Linked DNA regions of Daphnia pulex. The protein of the gene in region 4 purifies or fractionates together with the protein of the main gene of each other region. This does not show direct contact. Links are inferred from orthologs where the notes say so. Each region holds a gene or a part of one and is shown on either strand. Other genes may lie near its edges. The genes, in order: small nuclear ribonucleoprotein Sm D2, splicing factor 3B subunit 6-like, splicing factor 45-like, splicing factor 3A subunit 3-like and U1 small nuclear ribonucleoprotein 70 kDa-like.

What was found.
Region 1: the proteins of splicing factor 3A subunit 3-like (region 4) and small nuclear ribonucleoprotein Sm D2 fractionate together in Homo sapiens (co-fractionation; 3 studies listed by BioGRID and IntAct, with this or other methods). This does not show direct contact. The link is inferred for Daphnia pulex from reciprocal best matches to the Homo sapiens genes SF3A3 and SNRPD2.
Region 2: the proteins of splicing factor 3A subunit 3-like (region 4) and splicing factor 3B subunit 6-like purify together in Homo sapiens (affinity purification with mass spectrometry; 3 studies listed by BioGRID and IntAct, with this or other methods). This does not show direct contact. The link is inferred for Daphnia pulex from reciprocal best matches to the Homo sapiens genes SF3A3 and SF3B6.
Region 3: the proteins of splicing factor 3A subunit 3-like (region 4) and splicing factor 45-like purify together in Homo sapiens (affinity purification with mass spectrometry; 4 studies listed by BioGRID and IntAct, counting the BioPlex papers as one, with this or other methods). This does not show direct contact. The link is inferred for Daphnia pulex from reciprocal best matches to the Homo sapiens genes SF3A3 and RBM17.
Region 5: the proteins of splicing factor 3A subunit 3-like (region 4) and U1 small nuclear ribonucleoprotein 70 kDa-like fractionate together in Homo sapiens (co-fractionation; 3 studies listed by BioGRID). This does not show direct contact. The link is inferred for Daphnia pulex from reciprocal best matches to the Homo sapiens genes SF3A3 and SNRNP70.

Annotation. Positions count from the first base shown.
Region 1 is NC_060018.1:305,182-308,003, reverse strand, and holds small nuclear ribonucleoprotein Sm D2, read right to left. Parts: upstream 1,547-2,822; 5' UTR 1,376-1,546; intron 1,307-1,375; exon of another isoform or gene 1,275-1,306; 5' UTR 1,159-1,274; coding exon 1,154-1,158; intron 1,012-1,153; coding exon 756-1,011; intron 687-755; coding exon 579-686; 3' UTR 523-578; downstream 1-522. Other genes in the region: proteasome subunit alpha type-6-like, read left to right, coding at 2-64, 135-345, 408-465; cofilin/actin-depolymerizing factor homolog, read left to right, coding at 2,755-2,757. UniProt on the Homo sapiens protein: Plays a role in pre-mRNA splicing as a core component of the spliceosomal U1, U2, U4 and U5 small nuclear ribonucleoproteins (snRNPs), the building blocks of the spliceosome.
Region 2 is NC_060019.1:12,853,505-12,856,220, forward strand, and holds splicing factor 3B subunit 6-like, read right to left. Parts: upstream 1,254-2,716; 5' UTR 1,124-1,253; coding exon 1,094-1,123; intron 980-1,093; coding exon 861-979; intron 804-860; coding exon 584-803; 3' UTR 522-583; downstream 1-521. Other genes in the region: dolichyldiphosphatase 1-like, read left to right, coding at 1-98, 161-290; pantothenate kinase 3-like, read left to right, coding at 1,707-1,806, 1,868-2,058, 2,126-2,299, 2,368-2,535, 2,620-2,696.
Region 3 is NC_060018.1:8,645,034-8,648,829, reverse strand, and holds splicing factor 45-like, read right to left. Parts: upstream 2,541-3,796; 5' UTR 2,340-2,540; coding exon 2,226-2,339; intron 2,162-2,225; coding exon 1,921-2,161; intron 1,846-1,920; coding exon 1,752-1,845; intron 1,675-1,751; coding exon 1,251-1,674; intron 1,177-1,250; coding exon 1,002-1,176; intron 934-1,001; coding exon 836-933; 3' UTR 802-835; exon of another isoform or gene 713-801; 3' UTR 520-712; downstream 1-519. Other genes in the region: cyclin-G-associated kinase-like, read right to left, coding at 3,490-3,594, 3,668-3,796. UniProt on the Homo sapiens protein: Splice factor that binds to the single-stranded 3'AG at the exon/intron border and promotes its utilization in the second catalytic step. Involved in the regulation of alternative splicing and the utilization of cryptic splice sites.
Region 4 is NC_060028.1:1,228,138-1,232,064, reverse strand, and holds splicing factor 3A subunit 3-like, read right to left. Parts: upstream 2,747-3,927; 5' UTR 2,634-2,746; coding exon 2,490-2,633; intron 2,425-2,489; coding exon 2,266-2,424; intron 2,206-2,265; coding exon 2,133-2,205; intron 2,075-2,132; coding exon 1,983-2,074; intron 1,919-1,982; coding exon 1,697-1,918; intron 1,634-1,696; coding exon 1,323-1,633; intron 1,262-1,322; coding exon 1,153-1,261; intron 1,092-1,152; coding exon 1,017-1,091; intron 949-1,016; coding exon 747-948; intron 675-746; coding exon 541-674; 3' UTR 503-540; downstream 1-502. Other genes in the region: moesin/ezrin/radixin homolog 1-like, read left to right, coding at 3,389-3,430. UniProt on the Homo sapiens protein: Component of the 17S U2 SnRNP complex of the spliceosome, a large ribonucleoprotein complex that removes introns from transcribed pre-mRNAs.
Region 5 is NC_060026.1:6,141,064-6,145,055, forward strand, and holds the start of U1 small nuclear ribonucleoprotein 70 kDa-like, read right to left. Parts: upstream 2,801-3,992; 5' UTR 2,509-2,800; coding exon 2,365-2,508; intron 1,895-2,364; coding exon 1,777-1,894; intron 1,708-1,776; coding exon 1,643-1,707; intron 1,505-1,642; coding exon 1,442-1,504; intron 1,381-1,441; coding exon 1,299-1,380; intron 366-1,298; coding exon 285-365; intron 82-284; coding exon 1-81. UniProt on the Homo sapiens protein: Component of the spliceosomal U1 snRNP, which is essential for recognition of the pre-mRNA 5' splice-site and the subsequent assembly of the spliceosome. SNRNP70 binds to the loop I region of U1-snRNA.

The DNA.
Region 1 (2,822 bases), on a different chromosome or scaffold from region 4:
GGTATGATTGTCATTGCATATGATGAAGAATTGGGGCCTGCTGTATACAAAGCTGACCCAGCAGGTATATATCTAAAATAGGGTGTAAAGTTCTCAAATTGTATGCTTTATTGCTGTTTTACTTTTTTTTCAAGGATATTACTGTGGTTATCGTGCTACTTCAGTGGGTGTTAAACAAACCGAGGCATCGTCGTATCTTGAGAAGAAATACAAAAAGAAACAAAACTACACACATGATGAAGTTATCCAGCTTGCTATTACAACTCTGTCTCATATCCTAACTGCTGATTTCAAGCCATCTGATATTGAAATTGGAGTTGTTTCTAAGGATCAACCAGGATTTAGGTAAGAAAATGCGCAAAATATTTAAGTTTAGGAAATTAATGTGACTGATCTGATTGTTATAGAATTCTGTCGGAAACTGACATCGATAAGCATCTGACTGCAATTGCCGAAAAAGATTAAGTTTGATTTTGTAACTTTTTCTTTCAACATTGGAATAAAACGAGATAATAAAACACATTTTCCGCTGTTCGATTTTTTTATTTCATACAAAAGTGAGAGATAAACACATACAATTATTTTGCTCCAGGAGTACCAGCCAAAGGATTTCTTAATACTAATATTACAGAATCTCCACGTAGGAACATTTTGGAGATAAAACGGTCCTTGTTGACTGGTTTGCTCTATAAAATAAATATACAACTGTCACTGTTGATAGATGAATGAATGAATGCAGAAATAGTGAAAATTACCTTCTTCTTTCCTTTCCCTGTTCTGGGAACTTCAGTCCACATTTCCTTGACATTTTCTAGAACCATATTGCAGTGACGGTCAAAAGCTTTAACACGTCCCAGTAGCTTTTTGTTGTTACGGCAGTTGATCAAGACCTGAGTGTTGTTTTTTACACTCTGAGTCAAAACTGAAAGTGGTCCAGTGTTGAATTCTTCTTCTTCCCGTTTGGCCAATTCCTCCGGTGTCATCTCCGACTTGGGTTTATTTGCAACAGCCCTATGGAAAGAAACATTTATTATTTAGTGCTCATACGAAACTGTCAAGTAGAGAAAAATCTGCAGACACGGAACACTGTAACTAGCTGAAAATATAGATTTAAAAATTTTCTATTTTGAAATTGAACTTAAGCTTTACTTACGCCATGATAAATAGAAGGATGTAAACGGATAGAGAAATATTCTTTGGAATATTTTTGAGCCCGGCTTCGTTTAACTTTTCAAACCGTTATTCACTTGTTTTTCGTAAACAAAACGTACATGCTGCGTTGTCATATTGTATTAATTAGCATTAGACGGTTGATGCTATTTTATGTCTTATTTGCGATTTAATTGCCAAAAATTGTTTTTTAATGTTGACTTACATTTTTAAGAGACACGTTTCAATTTCTAATAATTGTTGTGAAAAGAAAAGAATGAAATTTGCCAAGAAAAACATTTACAATCCCAGACGTCAGACGTCTGGGACTCTGTACTGGAATTCGTTTTAGTCGAGAGGAAAGGAAATACAAACCTCAGAAAGTAGAGTCAAGAGAAAACCGAAGCGGTTGACAATTGTCAGCCGACAGATGTTATGTTATGTAGCATAGCTTGTCTAATGCCATATATGGACATATTCCCCCCGTATGCACAGACTATTCTTTCTCATGGTCCCCAATGGAGAACGCTTTCCAGCGTTGTTGATAAGTCATCCTGAAACGGCGAAAACTTTCGAATCACGCTGTTATCGGCTGTTCATTGTGCGAAGGCGATCTATGGCAATTGAAACTTTTTGGTCTAAATTATAGAAACAGAGAAAGTTGTCGACACCGGTCCCGAGAGTTTCAGATTTTTAATACATAGGGGAGGGGAGGGCAGATTAGAGGGAGGGGAAGTAAAAATGTGAGTCATCGATGTCTGCCCATAAAAGGTCATCCTCCCCGAGAAACTGAATGAAAGAATAAGTGTGCAACTGGCCCAATAATTTTTTTTTTTCGTTAAAACACTCATGCGAGATGCACACCATTTATTAGGAAGTCGGAATGATCATTTAGAGTCGGCAACTTTTTGCTCAAGCAGAAAAATCTGCGAGTAGAGGATTTTACAGAAAAAGTTACTTTTCGTAACTCTCTCCAGGTTTGTGGTTTGGGCTCCCCTTTTTCGGGTTAACAAGCGCCCGATATGGACAACCAATCAGAGAATGTGCAACCAGTACACACAAAATTCTCTACAATCGGCATCATCCTTCAATCGCTAAGCAAGCAGAGACCCCTGGCGGTTACCCGAATTCATTTAACGACATTTGAGATTTTACATAACAGCAAACAGAATAAGAGTCATACAAATTATTTTTAAAATGATAAATGATGCGCCTATCATTATATGTTTTATTTGTGATAAATTAGTGAAGTTTGTAATATGGTTCGAAATAGGCATCGTTTGACGGCGCTGTATTCCACCCCCAGATGACGCGCTTTTCTGGGTGTGGACTGGGTAGCGCCAAGTTTTCTCAAGTTTGGGGAACAGCCGCCATTTTGCAGTGCGAGGTCCCGGCCGGTGTAGAGAAGTCTACTCTGAGTTTCCCCTCTTCTTTCGCCGCGCCACGAGTAAAATCTTATCGAGGGCATTTTCTCTCTCTCTCTCTCACTCGCACCACTCACTCCCCCCAGTGCCGTCTCATCCCGCAGTCATTCGGGTTGATCTTTCAGTTTAGGCGTCTTTGAGCTTTGCGTGAAATTTTTCTAGACTTTTTTCTTAGTCCAAAATGGTGAGTAACGTTGATATTGTCATGTCGTTAGAAATGTGTTTGCTGTATACGTGTGGAATTCTTCC
Region 2 (2,716 bases), on a different chromosome or scaffold from region 4:
GTAATAGTAGGGGGATTACTTGGATCTGTTTTAGCAGTTTCGTGGTTCTTATTTACGCAATTCGCTCTAACGCCGTGGTTCCCAACTGTTGCATCATGGTTAGTTTTCCTCAAAAGTGTTTCCATGCCGATAACATGCAATATTCATTGTTATTTCTTAGGAGAGTGTGTGAATGGCTATTGGTGAGAGATCAAACATTAATCCCTAACATTATCTGGTTTGAATATACATCTCACCGGAGCGAATCAAAGCACAGAAGTCGAAAATTGGTCTCCATGAAGTCCCAGTAAAACTGGCTTGAAAATAATTTTGTGTTCAGTAGCTGCAGTGCAATTGTTTGTCTGTTTACTGTGCCTACAAATCTGTTATTCTTGAAAGCCGGATATTTCGTGAATATTCTTTTTAGAAAAAACATTTTTGAGTTGTAATAACTCGTGCAAATCATATTTGATATTCCATTACAATGGAATACCTCACAATTACACTGGTTGGAAAAGGGTCAATACTGGTTACAATTCACATAGTGAAAATGGTTTTTTTATTATACCAAATTGTACAATGAGAAATGAGGTCAATTTACATGTTATTCATCATTCAATCCAAATTTAGCCTTCATGCTTTCTATCTCTTCTTTCTTCTTGTCTGTGTCAACCTTTTTGAAGGCCTTTGTAGGTTGATAATAGAGTACTACAAGGTAACGATTGCAGACATTAAAACCAGAAAGATGATCACAAGCATTTTTTGCATCAAAAATGTCTTCATAGACCACAAAAGCTGTTCCTCTGGTTTCTGGAGTGTTCCCTCTATCAAATCAAATGAGTTACAATTGATGCTAACATATATTATCAATTTCTACTTACACTCTGATTTGCCGAATAGCTCCGTATTTTCCAAAGATATCATACATTTCTTCTGATGTAATTTTATAGGGAAGATTTCGGACATATAGGATTCTGTTTACTTCAGGAGGTAACCTCACCTGAAAAATAAAAATATTTAAGAAATGCTCACATGGAAATCTTGATGCACAACAATCTTGACTCAATATAATAAACTACTAATGATAAAAAAAAATTAACACATGATTGCATACGTTTAGCTTTTTCTGCATTGCCATCGCCATTGTTAGGAGTAAAATTCAGTTAAAACAACGAAATCACTGATCAATACAATTCAAAACTGTGCTCGTGAACTTGACAATAAGAACGCCGCTTGGTATTCAAAATGGCTGCATAGCAGACGACGATTCTGAGCTGACAGAATAAACAAAACATTATTTTCGTGTAATTCAATTAATTGGTTTTATGCACTAGAAAATTTGATTCAAATTAAATACTAAAAAAATGTATATATATCTCATAAAAATCTTTTCCTAGCTCAATTTACTCTTCACATTTTAATATTTTGGCAATGCTGATGTTTTAGCAGACGAATTTGTGTCAAATGAGGAATAGCATACTCAAATAAGAGAAAAGGAAAGGGGAAAAGTTTCCACATCGTACGACCCGAATTCCTTTTTCTATTGGTTCGAATATCAAGATATGATGCAGATGGCCACTATTCGAGTCGCGTAAACTGAACTGATTCGCTACTTCCGATATCAATTAAATAAAGGGATTTTTAAGCTTCATCCGGTGCTGTGCATACAATAAAGAATTGCTGGGATATAACTAAAGAAAGCACATTGAAATTCTGCACATTAACAGATGTCTTCTGATCACGAAACACAATATGGTCGCACAATGGATAGTGTAGAAAACAGGGTAACAAATGGCCATGATTCAAGTTCCACAGTTGTTCATTCTCGTAAGTATTGTTATTTTTAATCAATTAGTTGTGATAATAAACAATTATTTTTATTCTACAGCTAGCATGCCCTGGTTTGGAATGGATATAGGTGGAACTTTAGTTAAATTAGTGTATTTTGAACCAACTGACATTGCTCCTGAGGAAGAGAATGTAAGTTCGTCAGAAATTGAAACCTTACACAACATTCAAAAGTATCTCACTAGTAACAATGCTTATGGAGAGACAGGGCACCGAGACATTCATCTGCAGGTGTTTACATCTTCTAATCTTTCCTATTTTATCAGAAATTGATTTCAGTATAATTTTCAAATTTCAGATGAGTTCAATTCCAATGGGAAACAGAGTAGGAACATTACATTTCATCAGATTTCCTACCTCTGAAATGGAGCAATTTCTGCAGCTAGCAAAATCTAAAGGATTTGCCTCTCTGTCCACAACCATTTGTGCCACAGGTGGAGGTGCATACAAGTTTGAAAAAGACTTTTTAAGGGTTTGTACACTTTATGCAGCTTTGATTTCTTTTTCTTTTTTCTTATCTTGTTATACGGTTGTCTGTAGGCTGTTAATTTAAATCTACATAAATCGGACGAACTGGAATCCCTTATCGGTGGGCTCTTGTACATTGAAGAAATTCATCGTCCCGAGGTTTATTATTGGGAAAATCCAACTGACGAAACTAAGTGCGTAAAAAAAACATATGACTTCAAGAACCCATATCCGTTTTTGGTAATTCCATCATTTAAAAACTTTATTAACAAACAAATGACTTTAATTCTGTTGTTGTTACTTTCATCTGATTTTATTTTCTAGCTAGTAAATATTGGTTCAGGTGTGAGTATACTTGCTGTGTATGGCCCAAATAATTTCAAACGAGTCACCGGTACCAGGTAAAACAACGCATAGAAAA
Region 3 (3,796 bases), on a different chromosome or scaffold from region 4:
TCAAAATATGAGGTCAATAATAATGGCAATGACAGCTGACCTTGTTCTCGATCATGTTGAGACATGAACGATTCACGAAGAATTCTTTCAACATTATGATATCATAGGAATTTTGAGGCAAGAAGAGGTTCCCACTTTGCGTAGCTATTTCGAAGAACTACATATACTCATGGTTCTTGGAAACCGGATTATACTATTTAAAAAATACGTTAACGTCGATAGATCGTCCCCTATAAAATATTAACCTCATTTTTATATGAAAGTGGTTTAACCTACTGAATGTCACTTAAAAAACACTTAAGAAAAGAACCAATTTTCATGAAATTTTTTATGATTTGGAAACGGGATATATATATGGAAACCTACCGCCAAGTTTCCGAATTCAAATCTATACTTTTTTTATTACTAAATTCTAAGCATCCACTAGAAGTCTATTACTGATTTGCAGCTACGCTTGACAACTCAAATTTTAAAAAGTAGAATCTACCTTTTGATGAAAAATGAATGTAGTCGTGAAAATCAAAGTAAAGTAAATCTATTTTACACTTTGAATGTAGAACCTTGCTTGATCAACACATTTTTGTGCAATTCAATTATTTGTTCTGGTGTGATATTGCGAGGACACGCTAGCTTGTGAAGTTAGAATTTGTTTTGCTTCGTAGTAGTTTAAATTCATCTCTCTTCATCCCTTTTAAGGAATCAATCTTATTTCCTAGAACGAGAGAAAGGTTTTTCGTCCTAAAGGTCAAATGCTTCCAACTTTTGGGAACAACGCCATACCATGTAATTAAATTCAATTACTTTCGATTCGTAAAATTTATTTTTCAATACGTGTTCAATCATTCAGCTCCATCTTGAGAAATCTTTCCACATCATAGAATCCGGCTTTCACCTGCCGACCAGCAAAGAATCGGCCGTTGAGATCAATTACGGCTACAAAAAGAAACGACAGTTAACAATTTTTAACAGACCTGTGTTATTGTTCAACTGTAGTTAATTACCTTTGATGGCAGCTTCCATTCGTTTAAATTCAACAAAAATCCGTACAGCTTCCTCTTCCTCGGCGTTAGGTACCTCGAAAATAACAACTTTATTCACATCCCCGTATTTTGTCTGACATTCCTCGCGTACTTCGGGTTCCAAATCAGAATCCACTTCACCAGGGCCAACCATATTCTAATGAAAGGGGAAACAAACAAACAACAGAATTTGAAATGAGGACCGTGAAAATGATTGACCTATGACATTACCCTCAGATAAATCACTTTTGAAGGATTCTTCATGATATCAGCAATCGTTAATTCCGCTTTGGGAGCAGCTGTTGGCGACACAACAGGTGGCGGAGGAGGCATAATTTCTTTTTCATTGATAATACGTCCACCTCGCTTGCTTGTTTTTTCCACTTGTAAGGCAGCTGCAATACCTTGCTGTTGTCGTCCAAGTCCCTGACCTTCTTTGAATCCATATTTTGCCATGATCTTAGCAGCAACACCAAGAGCTCCAACCCCACTTCCAGTAGAGGAGAGAGAAGGATGAGATGGCGATGAGTTGTCTTGTAATGATGGAGGTGGGGCAATGGCAACTCCACCAGAAGTAGAGGACTTCTTCACCATTGGTTCCTCTTCCTCATCATGTAAACGTCCAGCAAAACCTGATCCTACAGCAGATGAGGACCTAAAACATGAAATGGTTATGTAATCAGTTTCTATCATCACCATATTTATTAGGCAGCTCCCAGTCCCATTATATACCTGTCTCTGGTTTTAATATCTCGATCATCCCTAGGCTTCCTTTTCTTTTCAGCTTCTTCTATTTCAATTTCAATCCCTCGTCGTTCCTTTCTCTCTAAACAAAAAACAAAAAAAAAAACAAAAATTATTGTATTCAGATTTTTCATTTTCTATAAAAGGTGCTGTGTACCCCTAATGATTTTGTCATAGTCAGTAGGATGCAGTGGATCATACTCTAGATTTGGGTCCCATTCCAATTCAGCAAAGAGTGAGGATCTCTCTTGTTTAGGAACAATAGTTGTCAAGAGTTGGGGTGTCTGATGAATCAGATTTTTGGTCATTTCAGGTTCAGTTTTTATCTGTGATTCAGTAGCTGTGAGGCAGGGTGGTATTACAGGATGGATAGCTCTTCGGATACCTTCACGTTTTGGCTAGGAAAAACAAATCTTTCTTCATAATCTATGAGTAACAAATGAAATGTAAATTGTAGGATACCTGTGTAATCATAGCTTTCTTTAAGTGCATCTGCGAATGTAAAAGCTTGATTCCTGACGACCATCCGGTGACAGATTTAGCTTTATTTTCGTCGATATCATCGTAAAGAGACATTTTCACAGCAAAGTAATTTCTTATATCCGTTGAATTAGTTGTCGTTCAAATCGTTTTTAAACAGAGCTCAGGACGCCTTCGCAGTAACATACACAAGAAATAAAAATAGACGACGAATGCAAATTGTACTGTATTTTTTTATGTTTTGATGTATTCATCTCATGAAAGGTGAAGGTGACTACTAAACAGCTACCTAAATCTGCAGTGAGGAACCAGGGGGCAGGGGCATGCCAGGGCCCAGCAGGGCCAGGGCCCAGGGGTGGCCAGGGGTGGCCAGGCACTACAGATACAGCGATACTACCCTGTTTCTACTTATAAATAATTGAATTGTTTTTTTGTCAATTAAACACCTTGCTTTTCGGATACGGAATAGAAAATACGGAGCTTCTCCCAAAAAATTGCCTCCTTGCGCATATCGTTGATTTTTGATTGTTTTGGGACAGGAATATTTTTGGGTCGGCCCTTTTACGAGTTACGACACCTCCAAATGTCGCCACAGTTGTGTGCCGTTAATTGTATGCGTATCTATATTATCGAGCGGACGGACTTGTTATAAGAGGTGTCTGTGACGAAGAATCAGTGACGAGAAAGAATAAAGTTATTTATATCGCAAATTCCAACAATTGGTTTGTGAGAAGTCACTGTTTTTCTGCAATAAAACTCAACGTGGCTACATCTTGCATCTGAACTTTCTGTAGCACCGAACAATAATTATTTTAATACTATTTTTAAATTAACTGAATTTAACCGAATCTTTAACGCTTCTTTTAAGAATCATTAATAATGATGCAGACACGTGTATTACTTCTTGAAAACCGGTAGCTATTAAACTTAAGCCGGGCGGAGATTACCGCCTTCGTTAGAGAAAACGAGACGACTTCTCCGTAGAAGAAACAGAAAGAGAACAATTAAAATCACGGAGAAGGAAAAGAAAGAAGAAAAGCGGCTGAGGAAAAGTTCTAAAAACGTGATGTAAGCTATTGTAGCTGAATTTGAAAGGAAATCTTGGGACGGTAGGGAGAGACATCGATTCCGAGTTACGACTAGATCATGGGCGTTTCGTATGAGTTAACCCAATGCTAGACAATTATAAACACGTAAATAGAACAATCAACGCTCGTAAACTATGAAGAATGGAGGAATGTATCTGTTATCGAAACATATTTTGCTGTGTTACGTCGTTTTCAAATTCAGACCAGGCGTCGTTCAGTTCCATAAAAATCATTTTTGCTATTTTCTCGTTGTCAGTTCCAGACTGTGTGATAATACATTCGAATTAAAGGCAACTTTTCTTACTAAATGTAAATGACGTGATAAATTTTACCAACCTGTTTGTCTGGATGCACTGCCAAGCAAGCCTTACGATACATTTTCTTGACATCCGTGTGCGACACTAGCTGGTGCATCCCCACGTCTTGCCATTTAGTGCCTTCCCAGAGAACGGTATGGAGCGAGCA
Region 4 (3,927 bases):
CAGCCATTTCGATATTTCAAATACAGATGTTATCAATTAAAGACAAATTCAATTATAAGCAAGTGATTAAAGCTTGGGGTGCCTTTTCAATATCGTGATTGCTCAGAGGTTTTAAATATTTGTTATAAGATGACTGTTTAAAATTCGAATATGATTAAGATTACATACCTATAGTAAGGTGGTATATACTTTAAGTGTGTTAAAATGCAAGTATACTAAAAGTAGCTGATCGATGAGGATATCGACGGAAATCAGTGACACATAAGCATTAATCCATATTCTTTTTCTCGACATGTCGATGAGCTGGGAATTGAGACGAATGACGAAAAACTCCATCTGAGCAAAGTTTTGTGATGGGAAGATGATTCAGTAATACAAGTTGACAACAAAGTGATAAATCGAAACATAGATTAAGATTACCAATATTACAGTGACACTCGACAACAACCAAGGAGCTTGCGCTTCCTCTGTGCAAATGTGATGGAATAAAAATATAACCGCGCACGAAGTTATAAGATTTATTTTTCCAGTCATGTTTCTTTACAAGAGACCCTGTCGACGCAAATCTTCGTACGTTTTCTTGGGGATGACGTTGCCCATCGAGTCCTCGTACTCTTCCTCGTGATCGGCGACGAAACGTTCTGACGTTTTCTGGCTTCTCAATTTTGTCCAAACTGAAGTTTCAATTAGAATTTTATTATTAATCGGTAGGGGACAGGAAAAACAAAAATAAACTGAAAGCTTACGTGAAATTGCATCTTCGATTCGTGTTACGTTAGCAAAGTGGGCCGTGTTGGGAATACCCAGACACCGCATGCCGTGAGCGTGACGCCATTCGGCAAAATGACGTTGAAACGCCTTTGGACCTTTGTACGTGTAATTGCCGCAAATCTCGCAATTGTAGCTGATGTTCAAGCCGTGCAATTTGTAAAGCCAATATGGAATGGGCTGGATAAGAGATGAATCGATAAGATTAGAACAAAGTTACACAATTATTAATGTTGGTTCATTTATACCTTTCCATCCCAACCTAGTGGTAAATTCTTGGGATTGTAAGGGACGTCATCGTCTTCATCTTCATCCTCGGGGACCTGAAAATGGCAGTTGAGAATTTAAAGTTTAAGGAAATATGTCAAAGTAATTAAGTTATACCTCGACAACGTCTTCTTCTTCCTCCTCTCGTTCCCCATCTGTTCGGGCCTGTTTACGTTCCACGTTCTCTTTGGTAGCATGCCGTGGTTCAGACAAGATCTCAATCAGTCTATGAATTATTCACAATTAATTATTCATTCAATTTCATTCAATAATTTAAATGGAATTACTTATAAACTTGAGCCTCCAGAAGGGCAATCTTCTTTTGTTTTTCGGCTTCCTTATCTTGTTCGGTAGCACCTCGATTTTTACCCTGGCCTTTGGCGAAGAGAGATTTGTCAATTTCATCTACCGACAGACCTTTTGTACTGAAGAGTCTTTTGGCACGGTCTTCGAGTGTTCCACCGCACTTGAGACCCAAAGCTATCAATGCTGATTTCAAACGATCCAGTCCTAGAGATGCCAATTCCTCACAAGATGAAAAGGCTGAAATATCCAACGCCGCACCTGCGTTTGCCAAAGCACTTCCGGTTGTTTCTTTCTATAAATTTGCCAGCGTTAGTTAGGTTGGACAGAAAATAGAAACAGTCGTAAATAGACTTACCGGCCATCCAGGAAATGTACCCGCTACAAAGTCCTTTTCGAAATCTTGTTCGATTTCATGAAACAAGTTGTCAAGGTCCATGACTGGTTTTACTCGAGCAACATAATCGACTAAATAATCCACCAATGCTTGTAGATAGTTTCTGTATTCAGCGTTCTTCTTCTCCCGGGGAATATCAAAGAGACGGTCAAACATATTAAGGTAGCTAATGTAGTCAATTTTCTGTAAGAAATATAACTGTGTTAATTTTTTTCGATTTGTTTCTTGTTTCAATCTATAAACTGACCTGAATTCCTTTTAAATTTGTGTATTTCACATAGCTTTCATGAAGATCCAAATATTTGCCATAGCCCTCCTCATCGGTAAAGTCAACCAAATCTGAAAATCAAATTACATTAGCTTTATATGACTGTGCTTTCTGTCAGATATAACCTACTATTTGTTTCGTCAGCTCCACTCTCTCTCTGTTTGGCAAACTCATCAAATTCCATGGACATTGGTACAGCAATCTGTGAAACAAAACCAACTGCTATTGAATGACACTTAAAGAAAATGAATGTGTTTTATACCTCATTTGGATGTTTTTTGTAAAATTCCTTGATCTGTTTTAGTCTGTTGTAAAATTCCACAAATTCATTTGGTCCAGAGAGCAGTGCCACCTCCTCTTTGCGCTGTCCGTCCTTGTCTTCATAGATCTCTTTCAAAACTCTTGTACTCTCCATATACCTCTACAGTTATCAAAATACGACATTAAGAGTTGTTTGTTCAATTGTATGAGCCAAAGTTTACATACGTCAAGCAAAATTTTCTGACGGTGTTCCGAGTTGATTATCTCCCTTTGAGTGGTCTTTTTGAAGATTGTTTCCTTGACCATGGAGTCGATGATACGCTCTTTTTCTTCATGATATCTCCTCTGCTGCTCTAGCAAAGTCTCCATTGGTTTTAATGAATTGAATTGTATGATAAAATAAAAAAATTTAAACAAGCCGGCAATAAACGAGCAAAAATCACAATGCTTGGGCTTGGAAAACAAACTGGTGGCCGTTGTAAGAACTAAAGTATTCTATCGATTTTTTGCAAAAACTATTTTCACTTTTTTAATTATAATGTTTTTAATTATTAAAATGGTACAATTCGTTAAAATAAAAGAATATATTGTCTAAATTTAAATTTGATGATTTGTTACTCATTTCATGTTTACAAGACTGTAAAGTGTAAACCCCTTAAAATTAAATTTTGATTCATTTACCTTCTCAATATACACAGCTTAATAAATTTTCTAGCTTAATTAAAAATTTTAATTTATTCCTAATCATTAAAAACCAATTTCATTCATTGCATTCCAAGAAAATGTGAGCATTTTTTTGCTGTCAGGACTCAGGACGGTAATGTTTCCTAGTGTCGCCAGAGGGATGGAGCGAAGTCTTTGAAAATCGAAATAAAAAGAAAAAAGAAAAAAAAGCTGAGCTAAGCTATTGGTAGCCATATTGCAGAAGAGCGAAGAGGGGAGGTATACTGAGGGCCAACAACGGTCGAGAGCCGCCGCCGATTCAGTGCGTTATAAGTGGCTGTCACCCGAGAGAGTGGTTTTCACGTATACGCAACAGTACTTATTTCTGTTTTATTCTTTTACATTTAATCTGATTAACATTTTTTAGTGTATATCCACACATCCAAACCGAAAAGAACTTGATGTTTGTTTATCAGGTGGCCGTCGTTCAAACAATAGGCGTGGTGTGTGTGTGTGTTTCTTGAGTTGTGTTTGGTGTGTTCGCCATTGGGAATCGTGAAAAATCGAAAAACGATTCGGCCTCTTGACTCGAGTGTTTGCCCTAAGCATTCCCCCCTCCCTTATTTTCATCCTTTCCCTATCAATGACACTCAAGGCTCATGTTGAAATACAGGTGTCTGAATGAATGCTCATCTCTCTGGGTTTGGAAATAATGTACGGGCCAGCCATGACATCACCATTCCTTCCTTGTATTCTTTCCATTCAACCGTAATTTATTTTTTCTCCTCTTGACATTTCAAAAGGAATGTCTTGGTTTTCGATCAACCCTGATGCATTCGCTAAACTGTGACGGCACCCTGCCAAATGGACAGGATGTGTTGGGAAGTCACTCTGGCCTTTCGACAACTCACATATACATATAGAATCCCATCACTCTAGCTATGTGCCCACATGCTGACCATCTGTGTACTTTAGATTTTGTTGACCATATGCTATTGAA
Region 5 (3,992 bases), on a different chromosome or scaffold from region 4:
GTCCTGAATGTTTTACGTTTACATCTGGTCCTCCACGACGAGTCCCACCCAAGCCTCCACCCAAACGGCGAGGAAGCCAACCTGGAATGCAATAGTTTAGGTACTTAGAAACCATGGCGGCATGATTATAATATCTAACAAGAAGAAAAAAATTTTGTGCACTTATTTACACTGATTAATCAAAATAAAAAACCTATGGATTTTCAAAACAAATTTTAAAATTTGCCTTCGAAAAAAAGGGCAGCAAACTATAAACATAAAACTTATTTAATTAAAATAATTACCTTTGACAGTCCTTGCCCTTTCTACGTCTACAAGAACTCTGCGGCCGTCTATTTTCTTTCCGTCGGCGTGTTTGTACGCAGCTGGTATTTTAAAACAACAAACCAGTATTTCGGCGCCGTCGGCAAAACGAACAAATCGTAAATACGGGTAGTACAGCAGGCAGAGAAGACGAAAAATTCAGCGTGTATAACATGGAGAAGGAGAGTTCCAACAATTAGTATCACAAACCTAATATCACCTACCGAAGGATCTCCATTACCTACCCCTCCCAGCAATTTCGAAAAATATTTACCGTGAATTAACAAATAACGAAAAATGCAATGATTTCAAGTATGACCAATCATAACACTTGGAAAATGCATAAAAAACCAACGCCACGGCCGTTTACCAGATTACGGCTATGTTCACGTAACATCCAGATCTATTAATAAGCGATCAAATGTTGCCAATCACAGAAGCAGATCCATTCCCTCTTCAAGCTGTCCCCATCTTTACCTGTGAATCCTCTTAACGCGCAGCAGCACTCGAAGAATCTGATCGAATTGAAATGGCCCTAATTTTTAGTGGCGCTAGAAAGCCTAGTAACCGACTTACCAGGATACTTACTACCATCAAGGGGAAGGGAGGGTGAAAACGAAAAGATACTTTCTTTGAAGCTAATTTGAACCTGCAGTCGATTTCAAAGGGATTTTGGTTTAACTTTAACCAAACGAAACCTTACCAATTGACCATACAAACCTAGCATCAAGAGACAAAAAGCGACAAAGGCCACATGACCGTCCAAATAGTCGGAGGCCGCGACTGTGACCGGAAACGACAAAATGAAATATAGGAAAACTTTAAGGTACAAATCAATCACAGATTTTCCCCACCTCACCCCCACCCCTTTCATCATCATACAAATTGGTGGTGCGACGATTAATTGAACAGTGAAAGCTATCGCAGGCCTTACTAATTAGCCCACTACCCTCAGTTACCACACGACTTAGGTATAATAGAAAAGAAATACTTACAATGCATGTCTCGCTCATGTTCATACTCGATGAATGCATAACCGCGTGGCTTACTAGTCCTCTTGTCATGCACCAACACAATCTGTAACATTAAAAAGCGTGGTAAGCGTGTGATTAAATTTCACATGGTGCTTGTAAGTTACCTTCCGAACAACTCCGTACACTTCAAACTCCCTGCGCAATTTAGATTCCGAAGTATCAAAATTCTGAGAGAAAATGTTTCAAGAATTATCGTTTCATTCATGCGGATTACTAGTTATAACTTAGCACTCATTATTCATTAAGCTCGAAATAAAATAAAAGTGATGAGAAAAAAAAATTATAGTATGAGTATTGACACTTACAATGCGAGCAACGAACAGCGTTTTGAAGGGGTCCATGGTAGAAACACCATTACTGTGTGGATCCCCTATGAATGCCAGAGAAAAGGGAAATTGATAAAAGAAATTGTAGAAACACACCAAAAATTAGAACTTACACATTGCAATTTCCTGTTCAAGTTTATAGGCAACTTGTTCTGCCTTTTCGCGACGTTTTCTTTCGCGCCGTTCATCCCGTGTTTCTGCTCGCGTAGGAGGGGGTGTATCTTTAGGATCCTGTTAAGAATATAAAATGATATTAAAAATTTCGTTATGTTTGAAAGCTCAGTACTTAGTTCATCAGAATGCTTCTAGTATGCAATGTTTCGTTCCACATCTCTCATTTAAAACTTTGTGAAACAATGACTACTTTACACCCCTCAGACATATGCTAACATTAAATTGTCAACCTGATAAAAGGCTCAGCTGGAAACACTGTGCTTCCAGAAAATTAAGACACTTTCACAACATTTTCACAAAATATTTTGCATCTCACATGTCACACATGAAAACTTGGGATTCTCATCGACACATCTAGAGGAGAATGAATAAATGAACCAAAACTGTTCCATAAATTGGGATTGGGACCCGTGCATTAGTAAATTAAGACATACATTACTTCCCAAATCAATCAAATTAGATCAAATTGCAATACTTACCTTGACTACTATATCAATTTTTAATTTTTAATGGAATCAAATACTAACCTCAAACAGATTTGTATACTGCGCTATACCAATGTATGGCGTTCTTTTTTTTTCATGAGTCAATTTATCAGGTGGTGGTAAAAATGGAGGGGGATCGCGTGGCGCAAAAAGAGCCAAAAGATTTGGAGGCAAAAACTGCGTCATTTCACAAATATTTCAATGAGCATGGACCTTTCAAAAAGCTTCTCGGTCGAGCGTCTTAGCTGTCGGCCATTAGTCCATTACTGTCTATCTATTGCTCGGCAGGGCTGCCACTTTGGTCTTTGGTGGGATTTTCCCACTTTTGAAATTTTCAAGTTTTTAAAATTGAAAATACCCGTTTTAAAAAACGGGTATTGTGGGATGAGATGGGATTGAGATTTTAGGAAAAACAGCGGGATTTTGTAATTTCTAATTTATCTGACCAATTTCATAAATTTTTTTTGAGCCGTAAATAGGCTAGCAACAAAATATATATTTGGCAACTAGAAATAAAACTAAATTTAAAAAAGCAGACGAATCAATACCAGATCAGAATCAGACATATATAAAAGTAAATAGTCACTACAGTCAAAAACAGCGTTTTGGCCCCAACCAATTTGTATCAGTTTTTACTTTTTATATTGTTTTAAATATTATAATCGTAATACTAGACCCCCGGCCCTTTAGTTTGCTTGTTGCTTATTGCTTATTGGATTTTAATGGGTTTGGCGCTGATATTTTTCATTAAATTTCTTGAAAGTGGAGTCTAGTAAGTAGGTAGTAGGTAACTTATAACATTTAAATTAATGCTCTTTAAGGAAAAAAAACTATAAATACTACATAAAAATAGACATAATTAGGTTTCAAATGAGACTAAGGGGGAATTTCTACGTGCATTTTTGACAAGGTTTAATATATGGTAAACATATTTTATACGGTAAGATTTATTTCATTACTGCATCTCAAAAGATTCAAGTTGTACAGCATCTTTCAATTACATCCAAGTCCCAAATATTGGTAAATAAATAAATTAGTTCCTTTCTTTCTTACAAAGCCTTTTCGGCCTTTTCTTAAATACATTGCTGATGCGGTTAAGTTCGGTTAATGTTATTGTGGTTTTCAAAAATCAGCTTGGATTTCAACTTCTACTTGCAGACAAACCAAAACAAAGTAAAAAAAAACTGTTCGATATTATTTGGCCTCTTGATGGCGTAGAATTCAATTATTGAATTAATTGAAATTAATGGTTTCTTAGGATTAGGAATGTCTTTAATCTTGATGTATTTATCGTCTGAAAGTTGAGACGGTGTCTCTAGCTCTCTACTTTAAGACCATAACAAAATTTTACTTTAGTTAGCTAAATTTTTTGCGCCAAAAAACTCATACTGTTTCGTCCTTCATGCTTAACTCAGCTTAAGGATAGGCCTTTTTATCGTTAGCACATGCAAAAAAATAAACAAACAAAACGCGGCAAAGTCTGATACACACGACATGATTCTGAATCGAGTTTCCATCATCACGTGACCGCAAGCACTCCGCCGGTCCGCCCACAAAAATAAACCCAAAAATGGAACCATACAATCTGTGAACATGTTTCCATAGTTCTACTAAGGCAGATTGCCCGAGATACCTAGATGGGAAAACCTCCTAAACTGAATAATTTGGAT